6 linked regions of the Macaca fascicularis genome follow. The protein of the gene in region 3 purifies or fractionates together with the protein of the main gene of each other region. This does not show direct contact. Links are inferred from orthologs where the notes say so. Each region holds a gene or a part of one and is shown on either strand. Other genes may lie near its edges.

Evidence for each region.
Region 1: the proteins of ANAPC15 (region 3) and CDC26 purify together in Homo sapiens (affinity purification with mass spectrometry; 3 studies listed by BioGRID and IntAct, with this or other methods). This does not show direct contact. The link is inferred for Macaca fascicularis from reciprocal best matches to the Homo sapiens genes ANAPC15 and CDC26.
Region 2: the proteins of ANAPC15 (region 3) and ANAPC1 purify together in Homo sapiens (affinity purification with mass spectrometry; 3 studies listed by BioGRID and IntAct, with this or other methods). This does not show direct contact. The link is inferred for Macaca fascicularis from reciprocal best matches to the Homo sapiens genes ANAPC15 and ANAPC1.
Region 4: the proteins of ANAPC15 (region 3) and ANAPC7 purify together in Homo sapiens (affinity purification with mass spectrometry; 3 studies listed by BioGRID and IntAct, with this or other methods). This does not show direct contact. The link is inferred for Macaca fascicularis from reciprocal best matches to the Homo sapiens genes ANAPC15 and ANAPC7.
Region 5: the proteins of ANAPC15 (region 3) and ANAPC2 purify together in Homo sapiens (affinity purification with mass spectrometry; 4 studies listed by BioGRID and IntAct, with this or other methods). This does not show direct contact. The link is inferred for Macaca fascicularis from reciprocal best matches to the Homo sapiens genes ANAPC15 and ANAPC2.
Region 6: the proteins of ANAPC15 (region 3) and CDC27 purify together in Homo sapiens (affinity purification with mass spectrometry; 3 studies listed by BioGRID and IntAct, with this or other methods). This does not show direct contact. The link is inferred for Macaca fascicularis from reciprocal best matches to the Homo sapiens genes ANAPC15 and CDC27.

What each region holds. Positions count from the first base shown.
Region 1 is NC_088389.1:44,823,888-44,828,903, forward strand, and holds the start of CDC26 (anaphase-promoting complex subunit CDC26), read left to right. Parts: upstream 1-1,777; 5' UTR 1,778-1,971; intron 1,972-3,907; 5' UTR 3,908-3,960; coding exon 3,961-4,019; intron 4,020-4,757; exon of another isoform or gene 4,758-4,785; coding exon 4,786-4,879; intron 4,880-5,016. Other genes in the region: PRPF4 (U4/U6 small nuclear ribonucleoprotein Prp4), read right to left, coding at 635-812, 1,580-1,606. UniProt on the Homo sapiens protein: Component of the anaphase promoting complex/cyclosome (APC/C), a cell cycle-regulated E3 ubiquitin ligase that controls progression through mitosis and the G1 phase of the cell cycle.
Region 2 is NC_088387.1:18,843,773-18,848,251, forward strand, and holds part of ANAPC1 (anaphase-promoting complex subunit 1), read right to left. Parts: intron 4,017-4,479; coding exon 3,782-4,016; intron 1,010-3,781; coding exon 918-1,009; intron 1-917. UniProt on the Homo sapiens protein: Component of the anaphase promoting complex/cyclosome (APC/C), a cell cycle-regulated E3 ubiquitin ligase that controls progression through mitosis and the G1 phase of the cell cycle.
Region 3 is NC_088388.1:70,872,932-70,877,917, reverse strand, and holds ANAPC15 (anaphase-promoting complex subunit 15), read left to right. Parts: upstream 1-1,775; 5' UTR 1,776-1,820; exon of another isoform or gene 1,821-2,078; intron 2,079-2,307; exon of another isoform or gene 2,308-2,626; intron 2,627-3,053; 5' UTR 3,054-3,108; intron 3,109-3,263; exon of another isoform or gene 3,264-3,268; 5' UTR 3,269-3,273; coding exon 3,274-3,393; intron 3,394-3,577; exon of another isoform or gene 3,578-3,686; coding exon of another isoform or gene 3,687-3,704; intron 3,705-3,946; coding exon 3,947-4,006; intron 4,007-4,324; coding exon 4,325-4,462; intron 4,463-4,609; coding exon of another isoform or gene 4,610-4,669; exon of another isoform or gene 4,670-4,746; coding exon 4,747-4,851; 3' UTR 4,852-4,962; downstream 4,963-4,986. UniProt on the Homo sapiens protein: Component of the anaphase promoting complex/cyclosome (APC/C), a cell cycle-regulated E3 ubiquitin ligase that controls progression through mitosis and the G1 phase of the cell cycle.
Region 4 is NC_088385.1:117,273,102-117,278,047, forward strand, and holds the start of ANAPC7 (anaphase-promoting complex subunit 7), read right to left. Parts: upstream 3,363-4,946; 5' UTR 3,270-3,362; coding exon 3,169-3,269; exon of another isoform or gene 2,369-3,168; intron 1,421-2,368; exon of another isoform or gene 1,366-1,420; intron 1-1,365. UniProt on the Homo sapiens protein: Component of the anaphase promoting complex/cyclosome (APC/C), a cell cycle-regulated E3 ubiquitin ligase that controls progression through mitosis and the G1 phase of the cell cycle.
Region 5 is NC_088389.1:2,139,274-2,144,492, reverse strand, and holds the end of ANAPC2 (anaphase-promoting complex subunit 2), read right to left. Parts: intron 2,134-5,219; coding exon 2,004-2,133; intron 1,769-2,003; coding exon 1,533-1,768; intron 1,459-1,532; coding exon 1,246-1,458; 3' UTR 1,097-1,245; downstream 1-1,096. UniProt on the Homo sapiens protein: Together with the RING-H2 protein ANAPC11, constitutes the catalytic component of the anaphase promoting complex/cyclosome (APC/C), a cell cycle-regulated E3 ubiquitin ligase that controls progression through mitosis and the G1 phase of the cell cycle.
Region 6 is NC_088390.1:68,120,028-68,124,506, forward strand, and holds part of CDC27 (cell division cycle protein 27 homolog), read right to left. Parts: intron 3,327-4,479; coding exon 3,227-3,326; intron 1,922-3,226; coding exon 1,714-1,921; intron 1,511-1,713; coding exon 1,338-1,510; intron 1-1,337. UniProt on the Homo sapiens protein: Component of the anaphase promoting complex/cyclosome (APC/C), a cell cycle-regulated E3 ubiquitin ligase that controls progression through mitosis and the G1 phase of the cell cycle.

The sequences.
Region 1 (5,016 bases), on a different chromosome or scaffold from region 3:
TTGGGTAAAAAATAATTGGAAAACTTCAAAAGGGAGATTATCACGAACCACTCTAGCTGCAAACCAATGCCAGAACTATGTTAGATCTCCAGAAGACAAATGGAATCAATCTGAATCCAAATGTACACTGAATTTTTGATAAGACTGCTCACTCATAGAAGCAAAACTATGTAACACATTGTAAGAAAAAGGCTCTCTGCATGATTTTAAGGGGGTAGGCAAAATACAGCCTTATAGATGCAAGTTTAAGAATTGAAATTCTGCCAGGCGCAGTGGCTCACGCTTGTAATCCCAGCACTTTGGGAGGACGAGGGGGAGGGATCACAAGGTCAGGAGTTTGACCAACATGATGAAACCCCGTCTCTACTAAAAATACAAAAATTAGTTGGGCTTGTTGGTGTGCGCCTGTTATCCCGGCTACTCCGGAGGCTGAAGGAGAACTGCCTGAACCCGGGAGGCGGGGGTTGCAGTGAGCAGACATCGCGCCACTGCACTCCAGCCTGGTGACAGAGCGAGACTCCGTCTAAAACAAAAGAACTTAAATTTTTTGACATTATAAAACTGATGATATTCAAGTTTAGGAAAGTATTCATTACACAAAGAGGTAAAGATGGGTTCACAATTTGCATCTTACCAGAGGTTATATTAATATTTCCAGCTTCGATCCCTGCTTTAAGTCCTTCTTTCCCCAAAATCCCAGACTCTCCTTTGGCCAGACGCTCCCTCTCCTTCTCTTCCAAACTTCCATAATAGATGTGTGGTTTCTTCACAACCGGAGCAACTAAGTCATCGGGTGTTTTAGTTTTGGTTGCCTGCCAAATCAAAAATCTGGATTAAATTGAGGTTTAATCTTGGCAATTTACCGGATTTCCCGAGGATGAAGCTCGCCCTGAGTTTCACAGTCCTATTTCCTTCATAATTGAAAGGACAAATTGGACACTACTTAAGATGTTCTTCATCGATTTGAGGTGAAGGGGAGGGTGTTTCAGTCCCTCACTTTAGCTGACGGGATTGATAAAACTAGTGAGGTTCTCTCGAGTATTTTCATATGAAAGGTTTGCTCTGGAATCTGTTTACTTTATTCTGCTGGAAACGTGGAATCTCGTGTTTTACGATGTATCCAAGATTACTGCTCATCACTGGGGAAATACTAAGGATAGATGAAATAACCAACGCGGTGCTAAAGGATAACAAGTTACAACATTACGAGTGTATACATTTCAAACGTTTCTAGACGTGAGGTAGAAGTTAGTAGGTCTCATTAAAATTTTGAGATCTGCCAAACGCATAAACCTTGGCCAAGACACTTCCCTATTTCAGAGCACCGTTACTGGATGAGTCGGAAGAGATGTTTGCCCTTTGGGGCTGTAGTGGGAGAGGTGCAAATAAGCTACAGTCCACGAAAGCGCTTAGGGGTCAGGAAAACGGTGGTCCGCTGTGTAGAACACCACTGAGTCCCGCAGCCTTCCTCCTCAGCCCTCCACCGCCTTCTCTCGCTCCCTAACGGCCCCTTCCCGCAGAGATCCTCTTCCCCCTTCGCGCTCCCTGCCAGAGTGAGTTGCGATCCCGGGCTCTGTACCGTGGAGGAGGTTCGCGAGGAAGCCATGCTGGGCTCTGGAGCCGCGAGGCCCCAGCGAAATCCAAGCTCTCCGTTTCAGACCTTCCACCGCGCGCCCAGCAGAGCGGAAGTGCGTCACTGACCGGAAGTGTGTCGCAAACAGGACATGGGCCAAGAGCCGTCGCTGCGCCCGGAGCGGCGCGGAGCATGATGGAAGTCGTAGTAGGAAATGGCGTCGTGGCATTGAGGGGCATCCCTCCTAGAACCTCCAAGAAAAGCTCGCGGAAGACGAGGTTCTGCTGAGAGAGAGGCTCCAAGCCGTCTGGGAAGTGTAGTCCAGTTGGCGTAGCAGTAGTTTCGTGGAGGGGAGCCGAGGTTCCGGGAAGGGGCTGAGCCGACTTGAAAAGAGGTAGGTAAGTCGACTCGCGCGGCTCGGGGCTGAACTCTGGAGCGAGTCGAGGGCTTCCGGGGCCCGCTGTGCCTCCCCGGGCCTACGGGGGCGTTTACGTCTTCTGGGAGCCGAGGACCGTGTTACCATAGAAACCCTGGGATCCGAGGTACAGGCCTGGAGCTAGGGGACGAGGACTGTTCTCTTCCATGGTCCGGAAGTCTTCCCAGGGGCCACCTATGAGCTTGATGGCTCGGCGGTGGATTTGGGCTGCAGCGAGAGATTAAGCTAGAAGAGCCCGCTGGTGCCAAAGTCAAATAAAGACCCGGCGGAGGAGCTTCGGCCTGATTTTGTTCATTTGTCTTCAGCCTGGTCTTTGTATCAGATTGAGAGTAAGATGATGGTTAGGAGGGTGTCAGGGAACTGTACGTCTCTCTGCCCTGCTGGATGCTGGGGTATTAGAGACGAACAGCATAAGGTTTTTATCCCCACGTGGACGGTGGGAGATCCTCAAAATATTGACGTTTCCGTAGCTGGCCAGATCCTCATCCAACCCCCTAGAAAAATTACAGCCATAATAGGTGTTATTTATTGAACATTTATTAAATGCCAAGTAATGTTCCAAGAGCTTACTCTGCATTACGTTATTCACTTCCTACAACAGCAAAGTAGGATACAGATGAGGAAACTAAGGCCTAGTTAGAAATGAAACTAATTGTTCAAGATCAGTGGCGCAGTGGGATTAGAACCTGTGCCCTTTAACCTCTACAGCCAGCACTTTTAACTGCTACTCTATACTGCTCCGTAGTGGCCAGTTTTTCGCAGTTTGCAGAAAAGGTAAAATGTATAGTAGACCTTTTTTTTCCTTTTAGGTATCCCTATCCCTCTCTTTCCCTCTTTGGAACTTTGGCTTTCTCTACCATTTGTCTGCATTGGAATCTGGTAGAAGATAATGCCTGATTTAGTACAAAGCAATTTGAAATGTAATGTGCCAGTGTTTTGTGTTGATAATATCGCCTGTAATATCCTAAGCTTCATGGGAGAAGGAAATATTTCTTCCTTTGTATACTTCACAGTCCCTAGTTTCATCCTAGATACATGTAATAATTTGTATCTCTATATACTTTCAAGGAGTTTTCACTTCCATCATTCTCACTTAATCCTTATCATGTTGACCTGTATAATTTTTATAGGAGGCTAAAATTATTAACCAAACTGAACAGCTTGCTTCGATGACTTCTTTATGTGTGAAATAGGAATCATTTTGTCAACTTCACAGGTTTTTGTGTTAAGAATGTAAAGAATGGGAATGGAAAAAGAGCACAGTGCTCAAGAATGATCTCACCTTTTATTCAACAAACATTTACTGACTGTTTTTATAGATACACTCTAGGGGATGCTGTGGAGAATATACAAATGATGCCATCAACAGATATTAAACTCAATTGGGGGAGTTGTGTTTTCTCAAAAACAAAACAAAACAAAACAAAATGGTTTTTGTTAACACAGTATTACCTCGGGATTTCAGGCTGTGGAATGCTCTTTTGAACCTCTTTTCTTCTTCTTTTTTTTTTTTTTCTGAGTTGGGGTCTTATGGTGAGATCATGGCTCACTGTGGCCACCTCAAACTCCTGGGCTCAAGTGATCCTTCCATCTCAGCCTCCTGAGTAGCTAGGACTACAGGTACACACTACCAGCCTAGCTAATTTTTTTACTTTTTTGTAGAGACAGGGTCTTGCTATGTTGCCAAAGCTGGTCTTGAGCCTCCTTGTGCACTCTTCTCTCTGCCTGCCCTTCAGAAGTCAACTAAGATATCATTTTCTCCAGGAAGGCTTGCCTGACATCCTTGTCCACCCCACACTCAGCCCAGACTGGATTAGGTGCCTGTGTGATGCCAGTGCCAGTATCCTCATTAGGGTTCTCGTTATATGATATCATAGTTTTCTTTATTTTCCCCACAGATTATGACTGTACCTTTTAATTCTGTAGCTGGAGCACAAGAAGTGTTTGTTTAATGAATGACGTACACACATTTAGGATCTGTTTGGACGCTGAGGATAATCCTGTGAATTGGTGAGTTGGAGTCTTCATGAGATTTAGCAAACTGATTTTAGCATTCAGGAGTGATCACAAATCTCTGACAGTTCTCACGTAGAGTAGATTAAATTCACTGGTTTGTCCACTTTCTCCTCTAACTATACTGAGATGTGATAGTTTATTCTTTTAGCTAGAGTATTTCTTTGAATGTGACTAGAACATGAGATTAAAGTGATAGTTTGCTATTTTAAATTCTTACTGAAAGAGTTTTTGATTTTACAGAGCTGTAGATCTCCATAATGTAATAAAAATGTAATAATCATATACCTAAAGACTTTAGAAGTTGGCTGGGTATAGTAGCTCTTGCCTATAATGCCAGTACTTTGGGAAAATGAGGAGGGAGGAACACTTGAGCCCAAGAGTTTGAGACCAGCCTGGGCATCAGAGAGAGATCCCATTTCTACAAAAAACACAAAAATTAGCCAGATATGGTGGTGTACACCTGTAGTCCCAGCTACTCTAGAGGCTGAGGCAGTAAGATTGCTTGAGCCCAGGAAGTTGAGGCTGTAGTGAGCTAAGGTCATGCTACTGTGCTCCAGCCTGGGCAAAGAGCAAGATCCCATCTCTTAAAAAGACTTTAGAAGTCTGTGTGAATTCAAATAAAGTTTTAATACTTCCATTCACTTTAGTACACAGGCTTGCAAACTGATTTTATGTTTTGTATCTGAGACTTTATTACCTTCAGTTTTTCCTCCTCTCTTTCATTTTTATCAGCTAATAGTTCACTGGGTTTGGCCCTTAGTGTTGACTTCAGTATGCTGAGACGAAAACCAACACGCCTAGAGCTAAAGCTTGATGACATTGAAGAGTTTGAGAGCATTCGAAAGGACCTGGAGGTATGAATACAACTTTGTGTTTTTTTGAGATGGAGTCTCGCTGTGTCACACAGGCTGGAGTATAGTGGCATGATCCTTGGCTCACTGCAACCTCTGCCTCAGCCTCCCAAGTAGCTGGGACTATAGGTACATGCCAG
Region 2 (4,479 bases), on a different chromosome or scaffold from region 3:
GGGTGGATTTTCAGAACACACATGAGAAAAAATTCCTTCCACTATAACTTTTTTTTTCTTTTGAGATGGAGTCTCGCTCTTGTTGTCCAGGCTGGAGTGCAATGGTGCGATCTCGGCTCACCGCAACCTCTGCCTCCTGTGTTCAAGTGATTGTCCTGCCTCAGCCTCCTGAGTAGCTGGGATTACAGGCATGTGTCACCACACCCGGCTCATTTTGTATTTTTAGTAGAGACAGGGTTTCCCCATGTTGGTCAGGTTGGTCTCAAACTGCCGATCTCAGGTGACCTGACTGCCTCGGCCTTATAACTTTCTTTATATCATTTAGTTTGACCATAACAATGTATTGGTGGTTTTTTAAGGGGAACCACATTTCAAGTGAAACAATCATTTAATGAAATGTTTCTGGTAATTCTGTACACATCTCTTGGATGCAGTTAAAGACGGGTCAATCTGATATTGCATTCTGTCACAAGGAAGATGTTACTGGGAAACATTCTGGGATACACAGTGAACACCACCATGGCAAAAGGGGGTTAGGGTTTGTTTCAGGCAGCTACTATAGACTCTTAAGGCTCCCGATCATATACGTTTTCACTGTTTTCTGTTTTCAATCATAGTGGGCTGTCACTTATTCATTGTATGTCTTGAACACTTGGGAAAAAAAAAAAAAACTTCATTCCCTTTAGTTTGTTCATGAACACTGTAAGCTGGAGGAAAATAAATCTTAAAGTCTCACTCTTGACCACAGTTTCTCTCCATTTGCAAATCTGGTACTTTGAAAAATATCCAAAAAGACAAGAGAGCTGGGCAGCATTAAGTCATAGTAAGGGACAGTATTCAGGTTTAGGTGTCAAGGTTATTTGTTTCAACATGTAGATGTCCTAACTGAAGCATGGGAAGGCACAGACTATGCTTACCCCCAAGCAGACCATGCCCAGGGCCAAGCCAGCAGCTAAGGAGTATGACTCTCTGTCAGTGCAGTATTCCATTTCAGGACCAGGAGGCCGTCCTGTAAAAAGAAAAGCGACACAGTTCAAACTAGCCTCTCAAAATCGCAACTCATAAAAATCTTAGAATTAACTTTCTAGCAAGTTGCACTGGCGATACGAATGGAATATAACTCCATTCAGAAAGTTATGACACTATGGTGTCCACAAATGTAGGTTTACCTACCTAAAAAAAAAAAAAAGGGCCCAAAATAGTTTTTGTTTTGCCAATTTAAGTCTTTATAAGCAATGATATTCAAATACTATGAAACTTTGAGTCTTACCAAAAAAAATTACCAAGTAATAGAAAACATTTTTAAAGGGAAGAGTATTCCAAAAAAAAGTTTTATTTTTTTAAAAAACATCTCGGCTGGGTGTGCTGGCTCATGCCTGTAATCCCGGCACTTCGGCAAGCCGAGGCAGGTGGATCACTTGAGGTCAGGAGTTCGAGATCAGCCTGGCCAACATGGTGAAACCATGTCTCTACTAAAAATACAAAAATTAGCCAGGGTGGCAGGTGCCTATAATCCCAGCTACTCGGGGGGCTGAGGCAGAAGAATCACTTGAACCCGGGAGGCAGAGGTTGCAGTGAGCCGAAATCAGGTCACTGCACTCCAGTCTGGGCGACAGAGTGAGACAGCATCGCAACAACAGCTACAACAAAATATCTTACATTTTGCTTTCATTACTTTCAAATTCACTCATCACATGTGGCGAAACATGTTCAAATGATGATAATGAATAAGGATGTCACTTGCTTATATTATTGTTGAATATTATGTTTCAACATTTATTTCGAGTCTATATAATAATGAGCCCTACTATGGCAGAATTTCTGTGCATTGATCTCAGAAGTCTGACTGGATATAAAATTCATACTTTTAAAAAGCACCCTATAACCCTAATGCTACCTTGTTGAAAATGACAAAATGTACTATGTATTAAAACCCTTCCCTCTGAAAAAAATTTTCACACTCCTGAAATTTTATCCCGATAGGAAAAAAATGCAATTAAAAAAAAAAAAGAAAAAAGGCTGGGCGTGGTGGCCCTTGCCTATAATCCCAGCACTTAGGGAGGCCAAGACAGGAGGATTACTTGAGGTCAGGAGTTTAAGACAAGTCTGGCCGACATGGAGAAATCTCATCTCTACTAAAACTACGAAAGTAGCCAGGCATGCCGGCAGACACATGTAATCCCAGCTACTTGGTAGGCTGAGGCATGAGAATTGCTTGAACCCTGGAGGCAGAGGCTGCAGTGAGCTGAGATCACGCCACTGCACTCCAGCCTGGGCGACAGAGCACGACTCTGTCTCAAAATAAATAAATAAATAAATAAATAAATAAATAAATAAATAAAATTAAAGAAAAAAAAAATCACACAAAGGTAATCAGTGTAATGTTTATACATAACAACAAAGGATTATTAAAACAATCTAAAAAGTTCTAAAAGTTAACCAAAAAAAGCATTTTACAGACCATCAACTCAATGAGTATTATACAAAATTTGTTTTAAAAACCACTTATAACAATGATCTATACAAACAGAATTTTTAATGTACATTCTGAGAGTAATCCTATAAAAAGGCACATACATATGAATTAAAGATGAAATCTTCTATCTACAGTATGAAAGAAGTATGCCACAGCTGTGAGACTGTGCAGTGACATCATTAGACATCATCATCATAATCATGATGTAGCCAAAGAATGGTAAACTACTTTCCAGACGAACATGCTTTAACAACCAGTGTTGAATATTTTCTGAATAAGTGTTTTTCAGATCTCTAACTTATGCTACTATGTATTTTGATAGCAGAAACATTTCAACTTTGGGAATAATTTCATCTATCATTACAATAGACTAAATTATGGGTCCCGGTCTTCACTGGTTCTCTCTTAGGTTTCTGTCAACACCACGAGAGAAACACACCCTCCAGCGTGGGTCCCAGAATAAGGCAGGTGAGGCAGAACAGCAGCAGAGCAGCCAGCTACACAGCTACAGCCTAAAGCAGAGCTGCCTGGGCCAATGTTATGCCTGTATGTATGAAGCATCACTGTGGCAATAGCTATCTGATACCATTATACTAAATAATACATCTTTAACAATATATTCAGAAATGCATATAGAAAAAATCTTGAATAGGACATACAAATATGTAACTAAATTGTTGAGCATATTAATAATACCAATAACACTTCCATTAGGCAGAAAAAGACAACACATAATACAGATTTCCAAAAAGTTTAGACCGAGTAAGAAACAGAGACACTTCACTAAAGTGAGTGTGTGGACCTTACCATTTCCAGGTTCATCACCAACATACCCACCAGCATGTAAAGGAGGAAAGCAGGAGTCAATTACTCGACTTCTATTGGAAGTGCTGTATCCAACACAGTAAACACTGTGATGTGTATAGTTTAGTGTCTCTCAGGGACCAAAACAATCTACTCTTTGAGTTTTAAGTGCAGGCCACTGCTAGACATTGCTGGTATAGACATAGCAGGATAAACAGCATACTCATATATGATTAAAACCACAGGTACCTCATTAAATGTGACCACTGGAATTCAGTAATAAGCTAGCAAATAAATATGGAGGTTAATAACCTGAAGTTACATCAGCCTTGGATAACATTACTTAGAGATTTTTTTTTTAATTAGTACTAGATCATTCTTTGCTCACAAAAGCTACTATTGTCTTTCCTTAATTTTTATAATTTTATTATCATTTTTACTTGGATTTATGTGGAGTGGAAAGTGCATGCCTATGAAGATTCAGCACTATTAATCCCATACCTATCTCAGCCAACAGGACCTCTGCAGTATGTCTGTGAGCTGTCCCTTGATACACAAGGCCAATGCCAACCACCGCGGCCACTTGGACATTGTGAGGAACATCCAGCTCTGTGGACGTTGGGGGTAAGAGAGCAGGAATGTGAATGCTAAGAAGCCGAGTAATAGACATATCCATGGTGCCTAGTTTTGCAGCAGAAACACCAAGCAGCAGTCCAATGCTTGTCATTTCATGGCCCTAAGATAGAAACAAAACAAATATGTAGTTTAAAATAAACTACTGCCTGCCACTTTCAAGACGTACTTTTATGTTGACAGGCACAATGAGAGGCACCGAGAATATAGTGGTAAACTAAACAAACATGGTCCTTGCTCTCATGGACCTAATGTCTTAATAGGAAAAAAAAGTGTTAAATTAAAAAATATAAACAAATATATTATTAAAAAGTAGTACAATAAGAAAGTACAAAGTATTATGAAAGAGTATTTTAAAAGAGCTTAATTTAGATTGGGAGGGACTAGAGGATTATTAGGGATGAAATCTCTAAAGATTATACAAAGAAATTTATATTATGACCTGAAGGATGAAAACAAATTAGCCAGGAACAGTAGCAGGAAAGGGGACACTCAAGTTTAGAAGGTGAGGAAGACTGTTTCAGGTAATAAAACAGCATATAAATGGTTCTGAGGTGATTCAGAAA
Region 3 (4,986 bases):
ACTATGCCCAAGCCATTCTAGGCCCTCTGCACTTCCATTCTCTCTCACTGAAATGCTCTTCCACAAATATCAGAAGGCTCTCTGCTTCTTCAGACCTTTACTCAAAAGTCACCTTCCCAGTGACTTTGGCCCCCCAATCAAAAATAAAACACCTCCCCTGCAAATATTTTATTCCCACTTCTCAGATTTTTCTCCTCAGTATTTACTGCAACCTTTTTTTTTTTTTTTTTTTTGAGACGGAGTCTCGCTGTGTCTCCCAGGCTGGAGTGCAGTGGCGTGATCTTGGCTCACTGCAAGCTCCGCCTCCCGGGTTCACGCCATTCTCCCGCCTCAGCCTCCCAAGTAGCTGAGACTACAGGCGCCCGCCACCACGCCCGGCTAGTTTTTTGTATTTTTAGTAGAGACGGGGTTTCACCATGTTAGCCAGGATAGTCTCGATCTCCTGACCTCGTGATCCACCCGCCTCGGCCTCCCAAAGTGCTGGGATTACAGGCTTGAGCCACCGCACCCGGCCATTTACTGCAATCTTAAAACTACATATTTTATTTATTTATCTATCTATCTTCTTCATTGTTTACCTCTCTCATAATGAAGGCTGTATGAAAAGAGGGACTTTTTGGTCTGTTTTGTTTACTACTGTATACCCACTACTAAGAATAGTGACGGACATATACTAAGGCACTCAATAGGTATTTGTTGAATGAATGAAAAAGGTAGTCATTTCCAAGAGGCAAAGTGTACTCTTTAATGAAAAACTATAACAAACGGTGCTATTTGGCAATATAATCACATTCAATATGCACAGTACATGACCTCTTGAACAATTCTTATCCAATCTTCACATCAGCCCAGGATAGAAGGAAGGCTGGGCAGAGATTATGATGCTGGTTGACAAAGAAGCTGAGTTCAGAGAGCAAAAGGACTCGCCAAAACTCACACATCTGTCCAGGACAGTACTGGAAATGTGGACGACTGCTGTCCCTGGAAGAGCCTGGTAAGTGATGGAGCTTAATAGGAATTGGGTTTGAAGGACCTCTGTTTCCAGAAAGCATGAGTATCTCTAAAGGCGAAGCTGAGTCAGAGGTTACTGGAACTGAGGCATCAGCAAAGGAATGGGAGAGGTTACGAGGTTGACCTCTAAGGGGACTTGGCCCAGGTCTGAGGAGGGCAGCAGATTCCCCAAGCAACAGAATGCTGTGCCTGAGGCTGACTAGTCATTCAAGTCTGTACATAATCTCCAATGTCAGAATTCAACAGACAACCTTAAGAGAGATCACTGAGTCTACTGCATGTCTGCAGGGTTTGGCTTCCCTGGACTGTGAGGTCTTCCAGGGAAGCCACCATTTTCATAGATGTATCCCCAGTTTCTAGCAAGGCCTGGAATATAGTAATATAGGAACTCAAATATTTTTGTTCAGAGCAAAAATAAAAAAGAATGAATGTGCTCAAACGGGAAACTGAAGCTGAGAGAGCACAGACAGGAGGGACATAACATTAACCAGCAATTCTGGAGTAGTAACAGATTAGTTTTCTTAGTTTTCTGGAGTAGTAATTAGATTAGCAGGACAAACGGCCCTCGCACTAAGAGGTTGCTGTCAACTATTCTTCAGAAGGGGTTAACAAGCAAATGGTGCCTGGGAACAAAGCGGCAGGGGTTAAATGTAGCCGTAGTAGTGGGGCCAGGATGGAGAGGCCGATTGGCTGAGCCTCGAGGCGGGTCACACTTCCTTCCCTAACACTGTGACTAAGGTATGCAACGTCACATCCGGTTTAGTGGGCGGGAGCAGGGAACAAAAGGAGACGAAGGACGCATGCGTTTGGTGAGTCCCGGATTCTGGTGGGTTCTTCCGCTCAGGCTGAGTTAAGCGCTTCCGGGTCGCCGCCGGCTGCAGCCTCCCGGCGCGGTAAGTACAGAGACAAGGCTGCCGTCGTCTCCTTGCCCCTTCATTCCTTCTCCCACAGAAACCCATTTCCTTTGACCCGACTGCCCAGGAGCTCCATATTGAGAGTCCTTAACCCTTAAAGAGCTCCAGTTCATTGGCCGCTTCCTCGAGACTAAGCCCCACCCCTCACACAAGGTCCGTCATTCATTGGTGTCACTTCCTGTCACCCAGCATTTCTTTCAGTTAATTGGCCCTACCCAGGCCCCGCTTTTTTCGCGTTTAGCAACCCTATAAGGCCAAATTTCTGTCTTGAGTCCCGCCCTACTTTCTTTCTGTTGGTCAACTGCATGGTCATTAGCGTAATGAGTAAAGAATGGGCGGTGGCTTTGCGACGGTGGGTTGGGCTTTCCGAGCTGAGATCTCTGGCCTGTCAGTACTTCTTGGACATGAGGGTGTTTTCTCTCGTGCCTAATTACGCAGGTTGGGAATCTGAGATACAGGGAAGGGCAGCGGCTGGCCCTGGGTCGGTCAGATAAATTAGGACAGAAGCAGGACCAGCGTCAATTCTTTTCTCCTGCTCATCCCTTTCACGGAGGAGTTCTAAGCCCCGACTCACTGTATGACCTAAAGCCAGTCTCTGCCTGTCGCTGGGCCTCAGTTTGCCTGTCCTCAGTTTAATAAAGATTATCTAGCACTCCTGGTCGGCTCCCTCAGCCGCTCAAAGCTGATTGTACCCTTATAATGTTAGTTCATCCATTCAATCTTACATCTACTTATTTATCCACTTATTCATGCCTCCTAGAATGTCTTACTAAGCCCTGCTTGCATATGCTACAATCCCCCCACCCCAACATTTGGCTGTGATTCATGAGCGGTCGTTAGTGTCCTAAATTTCTGACACTGGGTGGGTGTGGCATGGGCCATCATAAAGGTGCAAAAAGCAGGTTTTAGTGTATGGAGGAGGTAGGGATAATTTCAGTAGAACCCTGCTACCTCTAATTTTGTATAATTTCATAATGCCAGTCTGCATTCTGGATTCCTATTCCTACACTTGACTCCCATTCCCTTCCCTCCTTGAACAACCTGCAAACAGCTTTATCTATCCATTATTTACTTAATTATCAGAATAACTTTGACGGTGGTATAATTGTTATTATCCCCATTTTACAGATGAAGACATTGAGGCCCAGAGAGGTTAAGTGACTCAGCCAAGGTCAAACAGCTAGTAAGTGTTGGAGCCAGGACTCAAAGCCAGGTCTATCTGATTCCTAGTGGGAGGGGCTGCTTTCCTGCTGTCTTCCACCCTATCCCTAAATCAAATTACAACCAAATTAAAAACGAAAACTAAGCAAAACACATTCACTTGACCCTTTCCCTCAGTCTAGGAGCCATGTCCACTTTGTTCCCCTCACTCTTCCCTCGTGTGACTGAGACACTGTGGTTTAACCTGGATCGACCCTGTGTGGAAGAGACAGAGCTGCAGCAGCAGGAACAGCAGCATCAGGCCTGGGTGAGTGAGCAGCTAGCACAGCACAGACAGAGACCCCAGCACAGACAGAGACCCCCTTCAGTGGGCCATGACCCAGCCTTATTCTGGAAATCTGCCCAGGAAGAGCTTTTTGCCCTCAGCTGGGAATAATCAGGCTGGGAGCCAGGGAGCCAAGGTTCTCATCTTTTCATACCCTAATTTACAGGGGTACCATGTGACTTCTGGGCCAGATTAGAGCCCAGGCTGCTGACACTCAGCCCAAGCTCTTTTCCCTAAAGCACAGGAAATAATTTTGACTATTGAGGATCTAGCAGATGACACTTTCTAGGCTGGTAAGTCTCTCACTTCATCCTCACCATAATTATACGAAAAAACCAAGGCTCAGAGAGTTTAAGTATTTAGATCAAGTTCATAAATGGCAGATGACAAGAAAGGGATTGAATCTCCCTGAGAACTGGGAGGAGGCTTCTCCCCCACACGTGTGGCTCGTCTTCTGGGCAGAATGGGCCAGTCCCATGCCCCTGACCTGCCCTACTTGGGCTCTGGCCTTTTTCGTCTGTGCCTTTGCCCACAGCTCCAAAGCATCGCAGAGAAAGACAACAACCTGGTTCCTATTGGCAAGCCAGCCTCAGAGGTGAGTGGCTCTAGCAGGTGGGGCCTGTGTGGGGGCCACAGTGGACCGAGGCTCTGCTCTAATTCTGAATGTCCTGCCTCTCACCCAGAGCAGTTGTGGTTCTCAGATCTGGGTGAAGGGCAAAAACGGGAGATAGAAGGGGTGGGCATTGGGCCTAGCATTAAGGTCCTGCAGAACATGCACCAGCCTGCTAGACTCAAGGAGGGAGGGTTGGGGTGGGGGGTCATTCATTGGCCTTAGAGAGAGGTTCAAGTGGGTCAGTTCTTGAACTGATCCACGCAGGCCTGTAGGGCTTACAGGCTCTGTCCTGCCCACCAGCACTATGATGACGAGGAAGAAGAGGATGATGAAGACGATGAGGACAGTGAAGAGGACTCAGAGGATGATGAGGACATGCAGGACATGGACGAGATGAATGACTACAATGAGTCGCCTGATGACGGAGAGGTCAATGAGGTAGGCAGGGGGTATGGGGGAGGGCCTCTCTTCCTGGGCCCCTGCTTCTGACCCAGTTGATGGCCAAAGGGTACAGAAACCCTGGATCCAGCCAGGGACAGGATCTGGGGCTGAGGCTGGCTGAGGCCCCTCCCCACCCACACCCAGCCTCCTCTCCAGGTGGACATGGAAGGCAACGAACAGGATCAGGACCAGTGGATGATCTAGGTAGACAAGGCAGGGTGGCCTCAGAGAGATTCCAGGCCAAACTACCCTGCATCCCAACCCCCAACCCCTGCCCACAGAACCAGCTGATGGCCCCAGTGCCTGAAAGTACCCTTGGGCACCTCCTCAGCTGCTGCCAGGATCTGGTCTCCTTGGCCCCTCCCAGGCCATCGATCTGCACTTGAAATCCCCAGGGCCTGAGCCCCACTCCACCTTCCTGGCCAGTACCTCACCCCTTGATTGGCAGGTCTGGTCTCTTTCTAAGTTTCTTTAATAAAGACAAAGGAGTGATTTTCCCCCCATGTCTATTCCCTCTTTGT
Region 4 (4,946 bases), on a different chromosome or scaffold from region 3:
CTCAGTCTCCCCCCCAAAAAAAACAACACAACAAAAAAGTATAGTCTAGATGACTTAAGTTCTCTTCAAACTCTGTGATTCTATGTATGTAGTGAGAAATAACCATCTGATGCCTGGATACAAAAGTATTATTACACCCACAGAAGGCATTCTGATACTCATATAACATACATGTCTACTTACACATGCATAAGTTACCTCTGTAATGACACAGGAAAAAATAGTTACTGCCTCTGGAGAAAGGAAATGGTGGGGTGAGGTTCAAGACTCAGGGAAAGATACTGATCTGCATGCCCCTTCTCCACTGTTTGAATTTAACAGTGTCTACTGCCTATTCCACAAGAAATTTTAAAGTATAAACCATGAAGGGCAGAAACCTGAACATGTCCTAAAGCTAGGAAACTGCCAATCTAACCTAACATGAAAAAGCATGGGCTAAACTTAGTCTAGCCAGAGAATTAAACTGTTTCAAACTCTCCTGTAACATCTTTGAGAACTAAGAGCAAGTAGGGCCTAAATCTCCAAACGTGGAAACTATGCTTTGACAAATCACTCAGAACCAAGAACCAAGTGAAAGGTTCCAGAATAAACACAGAAGGCTGACAGAGACCAGGGCTCCTGTCAACATGAAGTGGATGGTGGCAAAATGATGGGTCTCACTAGTAAGGTCCAAAGCACACTAATGAGGCCGGGCTCGGTGGCTCACGCCTGTAATCCAAGCACTTTGGGAGGCCTAAGTCATGGGGATCACTTGAGGTCAGGAGTTCGAGACAAGCCTGGTCAACATGATAAAACTCCATCTCTATAAAAAAAAAAAAAAATTAGCCAGGCGTGGTGGTGCGAATCTGTAATCCCTGTTACTCAGGAGGCTGAGGTGGGAGGATCGCTTGAGCCTGGGAGGTGGAGGCTGTAGTGAGCCAAGATCGCACCACTGCACTCCAGCCTGGGCAACAGAGCAAGACTCTGACTGAAAAGCAAAACAAAACACCAAAGCACACTCATGAAAATCCAATGGGCAGCAGCAGCTGCATTGTAAGCACTTTAAGGACCTTTCCCTTCTGACCTAGACCAGCTTCTATAGCAGGCCAAACACTAATACATCTACAGAGTAGAAGTTTCCATGATAATGCCATTTGGAGGTAGCAGACTGGTGGCTCAGAATGGAGACTCTCCAGTCAGAGAAGACCAGGTCCAGACATTGTACTCCTCCATTTATTAGATGTGTGAACTCAGACAAGGGTATTTCACCTCCCTGAAGTTGTACTCACTTCCTCAACACACTCAATAAGCATGTGAGTGCTTAATGCGCACATCCACTGTGCTTTCAATTGCTAGGCGATGCGAAGGGTAGAAAAGTGGGAGTACCTGAGAGTCCTGGGAGTCAGAGAAGGTTCTCTAGGAGAGATGTTCAGGCTAAAACCTGAAGGAGGAGGCAGCGCTGAGATAAGGACCGTTGCAGCAGGAACAGCAAGTACAAGGGCCCAGAGAACACGCTTGGTACATTCAAATAACACAAAGAGGCCAAGCGCGGTGGCTCACGCCTGTAATCCCAAAATTTTGGGAGGCCGAGGTGGTGGGATCACCTGAGGTCAGGAGTTCAAGACCAGACTGGTCAATATATTGAAACTCCGTTTCTACTAAAATTACAAAAATTACCTGGGCATGTGGCGCTCGCCTGTAATCCCAGCTACTTGGGAAGCTGAGGCAGGAGAATCGCTTGAACCCAGGAGGCGGAGGCTGCAGTGAGCCGAGATCGCGCCACTGAACTCCATCCAGCCTGGGCGACAGAGCAAGGCTCTGTCTCAAAAAAAAACAAAAATAAATAAAAATAAATAAATAACAGAAAGAATAGCCAGAGAGGCTGGAGAGCAGTGAACACAGTAATGAGATGAAGTAGCAGAGAGTGAAGGGCAGATAGTTCCTTTCGGAGGCCATGGGAAATAATTTTCATTAGTGCAATAAATGATTTTTTTTTTTTTTTAAGACGGAGTCTCGCTCTGTCGCCCAGACTGGAGTGCAGCGGCGCGATCTCGGCTCACTGCAAGCTCTGCCTCCCGGGTTCCCGCCATTCTTCTGCCTCAGCCTCCCCAGTAGCTGGGACTACAGGTGCCCGCCACCACACCCGGCTAATTTTTTTGTATTTTTTTAGTAGAGACAGGGTTTCACCGTGTTAGCCAGGATGATCTCGATCTCCTGACCTCGTGATCCGCCTGCCTCGGCCTCCCAAAGTGCTGGGATTACAGGCTTGAGCCACTGCAACCAGCCAGTGAAGGATTTTAAGCAGGAGAGGGACATGTACTTAAGGATGGACACTCAAGGATGGAATCAGCCCAGTGCTTCAATGAAACAAGAAAGGCGCCACGCCCACCCATTAATGGAATCTCCCGTTTCTTTTTTGAGACAGGCTGTCGTTCTGTCGCACACGGTAAAGGACAGTGATGCGATCACGGCTCACTGCAGCCTCGACCTTCTGGGCTCAAGCAATCCTCCTGCTTCAGCCTCCCGAGTAGCTGGGAACTCAGGCACGCACAATCACGCCCGGCTAATTGTTTAATTTTTATTTTTCATAGAGGCAGGGTCTCCCTATGTTGCCCAGGTTAGTCTTAACTCCTGGGCTCAAGCGATCCTCCCGCCTCGGCCTCCCAAAGTGCTGGTATTAGAGGCGTGAGCCATCGCGCCCGGCCCCGTTTTCAGGGGTTTCCCAAGGCGAGAAAGTGGACCCTCCTGATACACTTAATGGGGTGACCAATCTCAGATGCGGGGCTAGAGCATAAAAACCAGGAGGCTGGGTCCCGGAGCTGCAGCGAGAGAAAAAAACGTTCTCTGGAAGGAGCCGAGAGGGGAGGATTCGGCCCAGCGATGTGACAGTCGCGCTACCCCGCGACAGGTGCCTCAGAAAACCCTCGCCTGGGTCGTCCTCAGAGCCTCTGCCTTCTATTTCTCCAAGCCGCCGCTCGCCACATCTCCGCAGGGACTTGACGCCGGCACCCAGTGAACCCAACTTGCGCTCCGAAGTCTGCTCCGCTCCACTACGCCCTCGCAGACGCCGGAGCCTCCGCTGGTGCGGGAGGCCGCTCCTTCCCGCCTGTTCCCGCGTGCCCTGAGCCCCCGGTCCCAGACCACTGCCGCTTTCTCCTCAGCCCCAGGCCGCTCCCCGCCTCAACTCACGGGTTGTTATTGCTCATTGTAAGTAACAAGCTGCTGAGGAGCCGCACGTTGGAGTGCAGCCCCGCGGCCGCCATGTCCCGCACGTGGTCTATCACATTCATCCTGCCCTGCAAGGCCGCGGGCAGCGGCGGCAGCACTGTCTCGAAAAACCGGTAAGGGATCCTTAGGGAAGACTCCAAAATGGCCGCGTCGCCGGGGTCCATCGGGTCCACACGCGGCACCGCCCCCAAGCAAAAGGTAACTACTGAAGTGCCCGAATAAAAAGAAACTCGAGTCCCTGCTCCTGTCGTGGTCCCTTTCCGGTGAAATGAGTTGTTACTTTTACGCAAAAATTACGTCATCATCCTAAACTGCAAAATTTACTGAGGACTTACAATGAGACAAAAGTCACCTTAGTAAGACTACTTGGTCAATTTGAATGAGTCTGAGAGGAATTTGGGCCTCTCAGAAATTAAAATGTGTGAGCACTTACCAGAAATAAAATATAGTAAGGTGAGGAAAAGCGCTCCAACTGGAATTAAATATTCTAATCGGGCGCCAGGGACAGACCTAACGGCTTTTACAGTCGCGCATGCGCACCAGGCAGGGGCCGCCGCCTCCCTGCTCAGGTGTTTTGTGTTCCTGCTAAAGTCAGGCTTTGTCCCTGGATGAACTTGTTAATTCGAGGGGCGTATTTTACCATGTAAAATGATTCCCTAAATCCGTGGAAATAAAGACTAGATCCAGGAATTAGCTGATACCCATATAAACCAGCATGTGTCTGGCACAGTTAACTTTTTACAAAAGTTTTACACAAGTTATTGGACGTTCACAACAATCCATAAAGTTGAAGTTGTCTTTCCCTTCTCACAAGGGAAGAAACTGCCTGCTTAAATTTTGTGCTCAGGTTGTTAAATGGTTGACTTGGAATCAGATCGCCAGTGGTTAAATGTGATGGATCGCAAACTCGAATGTATACAGAGACCAGGGAGGTAACTGAGCCAATGAGGCAGTTTAGGTATTTGAATCAGAATCCCAATATCCTCCACAATCACCCTCTCAGATATAGCCTTTCGCTCCTTTCTTGAAGGAGACAGTTGTTTTGGTCTATATTTTGTTTTCATTTGATTTTTAGAGTAACAGATGCAAAAAAAAAAATGCTCTGAAAAAATCACGGTATATCTTCACCAGTCAACTTTTTCAGCTCTTACATTTTGTCACAGTTGAAGCTCCTGTGATCCTTTTCCCATCTCATCCCCTACTCTAGTTTTCTGGATGTATGAGACCTTTGATGTGATTTTGGTAGGCATGATCACTGTGAACTTTTCTTTTTTTTTTGAGATGGAGTTTTGCTTTTGTCGCCCAGGTTGGAGTTCAAAATCTCAGCTCACTGCAACCTCTGCCTCCCGGGTTCAAGTGATTCTCCCTGCCTCAGCTTCCTGAGAAGCTGGGATTACAGGCACCTGCCACCACTGTCACGCACGTCCGTGTGAAGAAACCACCAAACAGGCTTTGTGTGAGCAACAAGGCTGTTTATTTCACCTGGGTACAGGTGGGCATGTAGGAGGATGAGCCGCAGACAAAACTCCTCAGACACCAAATTAAAGAAGGAAGGAGTTTATTCGGCCAGGAGCATTGGCAAGGCTCCTGTGTCAAGAGCTGAGCTCCCTAAGTGAGCAATTCCTGTCCCTTTTAAGGACTCACAACTCTAAGGGGGTCCATGTGAGAGGCTCATGATCGATTGAGCAAGCAGCGGGTACGTGACAGGGGCTGCATGCACTGGTGGTCAGAGTGAAACA
Region 5 (5,219 bases), on a different chromosome or scaffold from region 3:
GATGGCCAGAGGCTGTGCATCTGACACCTGCCTAATCCCAACCACTTCCTCCTTCAAGCCCCGAGGCAAACAGAGTTCTCCAGAGTCAGGAGGGTGCAAGCATGTCCACGGAGCAGGACGGCTCAAACAGGCCAGATCTGGAGAGGTGGGAGGGTGCTGGGCGGCGGCTGCAGGAGCCCAGGACAGTGGACATGTGGGAACCAGCAAAGGTATTTGGGGACAGTGGCGGGAGCACTGAAGCCAGGCGCAGCTCACAGCCTGGGAAGGTGCTGCAGCAGGAGCGGGACTCGAGGTGCCGGTTCAAAGGGCCTTTATCCCCTGGGAGGACGGCACCATCGGGGTGGAATATGTCTGGCCTGGAAATGGCACCTCTGGGAGACAGGCCCAGGTTTTAGCAGCAGAAGAGCCCAGAGCTGGACCCTAGGGCCCTTGTTCAGCTTTGTGGCGTCTCCCTCTCCCAGTGCCAGCCTCTGGGACAGGCCTTGGGCAGCCTGCACACGCATGACCACACATGTGGGGGACATGGGGGCGACCTGCCTTTCCGAGGCACACCTGTGAGGCCGAGCTCTGCGGCCACCCTGCCCAAGTGTGGAGCAGGGGACAAGTGCCCAGTCCCTCTGGCCACCAGGGCATAGCTTTGAGCAGAGCTTTGCTGCCGGAGATGAGGTGTGTTGGCCAAGACGTCATTCGCCAGTCTAAGCAATTCCAACCGAACCCATGCAACGTCCCAGCCTCGCTGGAGACCTCCTGGCCCGGCACGTGGGGTGGGCACAGGCTGAGCAGAGGGTGACCCCAGGGCTCCTTCCAAAGGCCAGAGGCACAGGGATGGAGCTGGAGGTCTGGCAGGTAGCACCAAGCCCTAGGACGTGGCTGCCTGAGCCGTGGCCCAGGTGTGATGTGGGGTTTCACGCGCGGCTTCCTGAGCACCCAGGCGGGGGCGGCCCGGGAAGCTCTCAGGAGGCTGATTCCCAGTGCAGATGTGTAGGCCTGGGTGGCCCCTCGCCTACTGCTGAGGAGCAGGCCCTGCCAGGCTGAGAGAGGCCCAGGATAGAGGGGCATCTGGGGGGCCCCACAAAGCCACCAGGATAGAAAAAGATGACCTGACTTGCTTTAATCTGCACACTGTGGGGGTGGGAGTGGGCGTGCCCCTGAGCAGTGCATTCTGGGACACAGGCGGGCAGGGGCTGGCATGGGAGGACGAGAGCACCTGCAGGGCAGCACCTGGCGGGCAGGCGGGCGGGTGCATCAGCTGCAGTTCTTGGGCAGGCGGTAGACGCCGGCCGAGTAGACGAGCTGCTGGTCCCGCACCTTCTTCTGTAGGTAGCCCTGCAGCTCCTGCAGGTCAATCTCGGCCAGCGCAGGCCCGGTCACCACAAACATGCGGAGCATATTGTAGATACGATCCAGCGAGAGGCTCTCCAGGTTGGTCAGCATGGCCTGGATGTATGTCCAGAAGAGCTGCGGACACAGGCCAGCCCCCATCAGGCACCCGCAGGCCCTCCCCGCCACCCCCCACGGGCCCGCACACGCACCAGCAGCTCCTCCTCCTTCTGGTCAGCCTGGGAGGCCATGCCGGAGTCGCTCTCGTCGTCACTGTCCAGGAGCACCATGTTGTCCCGGTCCTGAGGCCGCTCCTCCTCAATGACAGAGAAGGTGCCGGGGGGCTCCTCGCGCAGCACGCCCTGCTGCAGCCACACAGACATCCGCCGCCGTAGCAGTGCCACGGGCATCTTCACTGCCTTGCTCAGTTCCTCCAGGGTCCAGCTGGCTGCGTGCAGAGTGACCGGGACACTGGGCAGACTGGGCACAGGCTGCACCTCCCCTGCCTCCTGTCAGCCCAGAGGTCGGGGGGCTCCCAGACCACCCTGCCTTGCCCGTGGGAAAGGGAAGGGTGCTGCCTGCTGGCGCAGCTGCCCCAAACCACACCGTCACTGGGGAACAGTCCCTCACCCACAGCTGGGCCGTGTGGCCGGGGCAGACTAGCTAGGGGCTGGTGGGCTCACCTTGGTCCTGAAAATACAGCAAGATCACCGCCTGTACCGGGGTGACCGCCACAGACAGCGTGCGGTCAGCCAGCTCCACGTCCATGGTCACCAGGCCCAGGGTGTGCTTCCAACTGAGGGTCCGCATGGCCTAAGGAGGGCTAGGGTCAGCTTGGGCAGCTCGGCTGCAGGGGGCTCAGGCCCATGGGCTCTGCCACCTGGTACCGGGTGAGAAAGGGGCTCCCAAAGCCACCTGCCCCACCCTACTCTGGCAGGCAGGTGAGCAGCGAGAGCACAGGACTGGGTGGGGTCCCTACCTGCTCAGCTACCATGAAATGGCAATGGGGCCAGCGTCACAAGGTGTGTCCCAAAAAGGCTACGTCTGCCTCCTAACCCCCAGTGCTTGGAAATGTGGCTGTATTTACAACAGGGTTGATGCAGATATAACTGAGGTCACACTGGAGTGGGGTGCACCTTAATCCAAATGACCGGGGTCCTTCTAAGCAAAGGAAAGATGGGAAGACACAGGCAGGCAGGGAGGCAGCCCACGAAGACAGAGGCTGCCTGGAGCAATGCGGCCACAAGCCAAGAAACACCACGGGCTGTGGCAAACACCAGAAACTGGGGGGCAACAGAGGACTCTAAGAGGTTTCAGAGGGAACGGGGCCCTGCCAATATCTTCACCTTGGACTTCCAGCCTCCAGAACTTAAGACAATCTATTTCTGTTTTTTTAACCCACCCAGTTTGTGACACTGTTACAGCAACCACAAGAAATGAACAGATCTTTTGGTACCAGGAAAGGCGCTGTGGAAACCTAACACCGAGAACGGTGGCAGCAGCTTTGGAAGTGGGTGATGGGGAGAGGCTAGAAGAACTATGGTGAGGGCCTGCGCGACTGTTGGTAGAAAGGCGTGAAGACAAGCCTGGAAATGGCCGGGAGAGGAGAGCTGCCGTCGTCTTGGAGAATACACACAGCATCACAGACTGGATACCAGCAGCAATGCCGACCCAACAGGTGCTTCCAGTGAGGTCTCAGGTGGAAATGAGTGTGCTACTGGGAACCAGAGGAGGCAGCAGAGAGCTTGGCTGGCTGGGGCTCTACTGTTGGGTACATGGTGGGGCCTACAGCTGATGAGCCTGGACATTCAGCTGAGGAGATTTCCAAGCAGTGTGGCAAGTGCCACCTGCCTTCTCCTTGCTACTTACAGCAGAATACAAGAGGGAAACCATCAGTGAGGCAGGAACCATTAAGCAAAAAGGCACCAGCCCTTGGGGATCTGAAAAATGCTGTATCCAGGCAGCTCTGAGACGTGGCCAAGGGTGTGGTTGGACCAGGGTTTGCTAGCGATGAGATGTGACCTGTGCATCCAACCAACCATCTCAGCAGCAGACAGGGCCAGGTGGGGCCTCTGGGAAAGGGCTGCGGACCCACCTGTCTGAGCGCTTGGACACTGGTGAGCTGCATGATAAGCCAACAAGGTGTGTGAGAATTTTGTACCATCTGAAGTGCTGCCAGGCTGGACCGAAAGGAAGGCAGGCTCCAAGAGCAGAGCTGCAGAGCCCAAGGCCGAAGCTGACGAGGTGGGGCTGCCCCTGCAGGCTGAGGACGGAGCAGGGAGCCAAAGAGGATTCGCAGGCCTGGAAGTCAACTGGAATTTCAGCTGCTGGGTTTGAACTCACTTGGAACCTGCCAACCTTTTTCCTCCCAGTTTTCCCTTTTGGGGTGGGAATGTCTATGCTTGTCTTACGGTGGAACTTCTGAAACAGATCATTTGTTGCCTGATTTCACAGTGTCCCAGCTGGAGAGGAATGAAGCACACTCCAAGCCTCACCCGTGCCTCGTTTAGATGATATTTACATGCTGAGCTGTGGAACTTCGTGTGGACGATATTTAGATGGGATTTTTGGACTTGGAGTTGATGCTGAAATGGTGAAGACTTTTGGGGCTACTGGGGTTAACTGTCACTTGCATGCTGGAGGGACCCGCCATGGGGCAGACTGTTATGCACTGAATTGTGCCCCTCAAAAAAAGACACATGAACCCCTAACTCCCAGTACCTCTGATGGGATCTTATGTGGAAATACGGTCATTAAAGATATAATTAAAATGACATCACCCTGGAATAGAGTAAGTGTCCTTCTAAGAGGGAGACAGGAACAGAGACACGGGGGAACATCATGGGCGACACGGCAGAGACCAGAGCAAGCCACCCACAGGCCCAGGAGCTCCTGGACCTCCCAGAAGCTGGAAGAGGGGAGGAAGCAGCTTCCCCTAGAGCCGTCGGAGGGCCCTGCTGGCCTGACTTTAGACTTCTGACTTCTGTAAGATGATCGTTTCTTCTAAGCCCCCTGGTCTGTGGTACTCTGTGCCGGTGGCACCGGGGCACTGACACACCTGCTCTGTGGGCCAAGGGTTCCTGAGTCCTTCCAGGATCCGGCAGCTCTTAACAGAAACAAACCTCTCTTTACGGACAGAAAATGGAGGGGGAGTCAGTGGCTTGCCTTGGTCCTAGCTCTGGCTCCAAGGCCGTGACCTCCACAAACGCCACTGGTCAGCCTGCAGCAGGACAGCTGCAAGGGCTCAGAAGCAGCCGGCTCAGGGGTAGATGCTGAGGGCTGCATGGCCAGCCAGGTGTCCAGCAAGGTCCCTTGGCCAGGAGCTCTGCTGGTGGGACCCCTCAGCACAGCCCCGAGGCCTTCCTGAGCTACTCCTGTGTCCCACTGAGGTTAAGACACACTGGAATGTGGCTGTCCCAGCACTTCAGGCCTGAGCAATGGGCAGTGGCTGAGCCATGCCTGGGACCCGAGGCGGGACCCTGGAGGGAGGCCAGTGGGACCTCGCCTGGAAGTGGCGCTGGAGAGCCTGAGGCAGCCAGAAGGGGCGGGGAAAAGGGACCGAGCGTGGAGCCCGGCCACACAGATGATGTGTACCAGAACGCAGCAGGGCACGGTGCCTGCAGGCTCCAGAGATGCCAGGCTGTAGCACAGGCCACAGCTGGAGGTGCGGGGATTGCCAGGGCCCTCCTTTCCACCGGGAGCAGGCAGGAGCCACACAGACCCTCCACAAGCTGCAAGGGACACCTGGACTCTTCCAGAGCCAAGCTGAGGCCTGGAGGGAGGCAGCAGACACTCGCCACCGTGGTCAGCAGCCCGGCCCTACCAGAGCCCTGTAGCCTCCCGCCCTGGTGCCTCTGCCTGGCTCTCCTCTTGTCTGTCTCTGGAAGGAAGCTTCCCCC
Region 6 (4,479 bases), on a different chromosome or scaffold from region 3:
TTTGAAAAATGATTATGGCATTGACAAAAAGAAAAATGGGAAAAAACTCATGAAATTAAGTTGAAACACAGGTTTTCTTTAGTTAAATATTTAGGTCACCACTGTAACTAGGGGAAACAATAAAATTCATTTATGTTAAAGTAGCTGTGAAACAATAAATTAGAAATAATTTTTTAAAGGGCTTTTCCAAACACAGCTCTTGTCTGTCTGTGTATATGCTACATACCAATAAAGGACCATAGGGTTTTCTAGTAATGAATAAGACTTTCTGTCTTCAACTCTCTTTTCTGTACTATTCAAAATTAAGTTATATGAATAGGTATCCTCTGTATGTATTCTCTGTGGCAAAGAACACCTTTCCTCTAGATCTTTGCATGGATCATGAAGGGAAGAGTAACCTTCCCTCTGAGGGCATAAAAACAAAAACAAAGCAAAACAAAAACACCATATTTCATTGTCCCCCAGTTTCCTCACCATGCTTCATTTTTCTTCATGACTTATTGCTACTTGTTCTTATACATTTATTGGCTTACAATTTGTCTGTTGCTAGAATGTAAGCTCCACAGAGGCAAGAAATTGTCTGACTAGCTGTAATACAGAGTCTAGAAGAGAGTCCAGGATATCTTATGCACAGAAATATATACTGAATAAATGAACTGAAAGCAAATTAAGCAAAAAACGAATCATATGAACTTTAATCCATATTAGAAATATTTTATTAATATATAGGTTTCTAAAAGGTTTCTTTTTTTAAGTTGGGGGTGGAGAAAATGCTTTGGGAAGAACTGAGGGGTAATTTAAATTGGGAATTAGAATTTTCTTTGACTTTAGGTTAATCATTCTCTCCTTTTCTGGTATAGACAGATAACTTAAGCAACAAATTTAATTAAAATCCAAAGAGTAAAAGCCTTGTAATAAGGACATTGTGTCCTCAAACACAATTTTCTTCATAGCATTCTTCAAGTTTATAAAACATATTTAATGTCAAAAATTCATCCCAGTAATTAACTCTGTATATTGTAGAAAAAATATAAATCCTATTACATGGTAAATATGTATTTTCAGATACAACTGAATAGGATACAGTCTACGTCTACGTAAGAATGTCTAGATGACAAACCTATTCCGAGAAGTTGCAAAGAATTTAAATTACTCCTTAACACAAGTAACACAAGAAAGAACTGTATCTATACATTATAAATACTGACAAAATAAATATATAGACATTATATAATAAATACTGATCTTTTAGATCTAGCCTTCTCAAGCATGGGAATTTATTTTAATGAAATTGAAATTATCCCTAGAAAGGCACATATAACCATTTTTATACTTACTTGCATGTACTCTGAAAGTTCAAAATAGGCCCTTCCAATCTGGCACAGTACCCAACCAGTATTGTAGTGGTGAGAAGGTAGATGGCTCAAAATATTTATAGCTTCTTTGCAGTTGTATGAACACAAAGCTAAATAACCTTTCCCCATTTCACGAAGAAGGCTCATCAAACCTTCTAGGAGAAAATAATATAGTAAACAAAGGAAAAAATGCAATAAAACAGTTTGGTTCTCTAGAAAAGGTAATTACAAACTAATCTATTAAAAATTCTAACATCTATGTAGAAAACAATGAAGGTACTGTAATGAACATAAAGAAATTTACTTAAAATAAGTACATAATAAAATATAAAGATAATATTAAGCATTTAAAACAGACCTGCTGCTGCTTTTTGTAGATTAAAAGCCTGAATCTGAGGTGTGATTGTGGATATTTTCCCTTCTGAAATGATGGAAGAGTCTAATTTTGTAATTTCCAGGCTATCATTTATGTTAGGTTGAGTTATTCCTCCTTTGTTAGTTTTACTTTTTGTTTTTCTGTTTGGGATTTTAGGTGGAAACTTCATTTTTAATTTTTTGCTATTCTCCTGTAAAAGGGGGGAAATTTCACACTTGTTATACTCATGTATTTTAGAATTCTCCTCAGCCCTTTCTCCAGTATTAGATATAAAATAAATGTACAATCTTGATTAATTCTATATTTTTTTCAGAAGAGTTTATAAAAACAAAGGTCTTCAAAGTCATTTAATTTTAAACACAGTAATTCTGAACATAAATTACATTAACTGATAGTGATTAAGGTGTGTCAGCATTAAGTGTAGCCCTCTTGTGAAAGTATATCAAACTCTCATTTATTATTTAAAAGTAAGAAAATAAGTAGATGTAATTCTTGGCTCACTGCAACCCAACCTCTGCCTCCCGGGTTCAAGTGATTTTACTGCTTCAGCCTCCCAAGTAACTGGGATTATAGGCATAAGCCACCACACCTGGCCTTTGTTTTGTTTTTTGAGACAGGGTCTTATTCTGTTGCCCAGGCTGGAGTGTAATGATGTAATCAGAGCTCACCACAGCCTTGACTTCCCCAGACTCAAGCGATCCTCCCACCACAGCCTCCCAAGCAGCTGGGATCAAAGAGTACCACCATCCCAGCTCATTTTTTTTTTTAGAGATGGGGTCTTGCTATGTTGACCAGGCTGGTCTCGAAGTCCTAACCTCAATTGATCGGCCCACTTTGGTCTCCCACAGTGATAAGAATACAGGCATGAGCCACTGCATCTGCCAGGTCTCCAGTTTTTTTTAACTTTTATTTTCAAATAATTTTAGACTCACTCTTCCGCAAATAATAATATCTGACATAACCATAGTATATCATCATATCCAGGAAACTGAAATTAGTACAATACTATCAACTAAAGACCTTATATGGATTTCATCAGTTTTTACATAAAACTGTGTGTTTGTGTGCATAGTTCTATAAAATTTTATCATGTGAATGGATCTGTGTAATCAACCACCACAATCAGGATACAGCACAGTTGTACCACCACAACAAAATTCTTTTGTGCCCTGATTTAATAGTAACATCCCTCCTAGAGGCTTAACTCTTAATAACCACTGATCTGTTGTCCACTACTATAATTTTGCCATTTCAAGATTATTCCTGTCATTTTTAACTTGAGAAAAAAAATTTTTTAATTGAAAAAGAATATTATATAATATTTACCAAAGGACTAATTAACTTCACAAAAATTATAGATGTCCCTCTAACTTAAAACATTCTTAAACTTGAAATAGTCTCTTTATTAACTTTTTAGGAATGGAGTCATCAATGAACAGAAATTTCAGCAGGGGAAGCATTAAGTAAACGTGACATACAGAAATCTTTAAATTACCTTGGTTGTGGAGCTGTCACTAGTAAAGAGTCGTGAACTTCTTCGAGGCAGTGCGTTTGGGGGAGATGCAATTGTGGGGCTCAATACCTGAGGTGTTGTACTAAAAAAAAATTATAAAGGAAGACATTAATATTTTACTTGATTTATGACCATTAACCGTTGTTTCAATTCAGGTATATTTAAAAAATACACATTAATTATGTAAGTACTCTAAAGTTGACGAATTTGATCAGTTCTTTTCGTGGTTTCTCTATGAAAACACAGTATTTAAAAATGAGGAACTCAGACTGGCTTTCCTGCTTCTCAGCTTGCAGACGGCCTCTTGTGGGACTTCAGCTTATGATCATAAGTCAGTACTCCTTAATAAACTTTCCTTCATATAAAAAATAAATAAAAATAAAATGACTCGTTACTACAAAATAGTAAAGATTACAGCACAGATCTTCACTCTCTCTGAAATTGTTAATTTGAACTAAAAATAATCCTCATAAAATTCTGGATCAATAAATGATAAGCACATCTATAACTCAATTATTTTTACCCTTCATTTGCAACTACAACAAATTAGAGAAAAAAGAAAAGACAGTTGGGCAAACAGTCTAATTGTGGGGTATCTGTCAACAAATACCACTAGAAAAAATGATATTTGAGAAGTCATCTCCCTGTAAATTCAAACAACTACATCAAAGGTTTATTCTGTCTAAAGCAAAAGGAGCCTCTGTACATTTTCACTTTAAAGGCAAACCCTGAGATATGAGAATTTCAATCCTAGGAGCAAGCAAACCTAAAATCTGAAACAATCGAGAATTGACAGTGGGTAAACTTATGGACTAAAGTATCTAAACTTTATAATTTATGGGAAATCCTACTAGCTACCTGAGTCTGGGTCAAAGAATTTCAGAAAATAAAAAGAGATATATATTTTCATCTTTTACGATATGTACATATGTAATATGTATACATACCTCTATATATGCATGTGTGTCTATGTCTCACACACACACATGAATCCTTTTAATCTGCATCTCATAAGCTAGGAGTTTGATAATGAAAGGCTTCCAAAGTTCAAAATCAGACTTCACTTTATGTGGAGCAAATGACACACAACCTTTTTTGGATGACTTAGCTAAAAGTACTACGCCATTCTAACAATCTCTAAAAGAACTTTCTAAATAGAAAGAACAGATTTCTGCCAGTCATGACAGAGTAATATGGAATACATTTATTCTCCCATTTCAGATAACTACAAACTG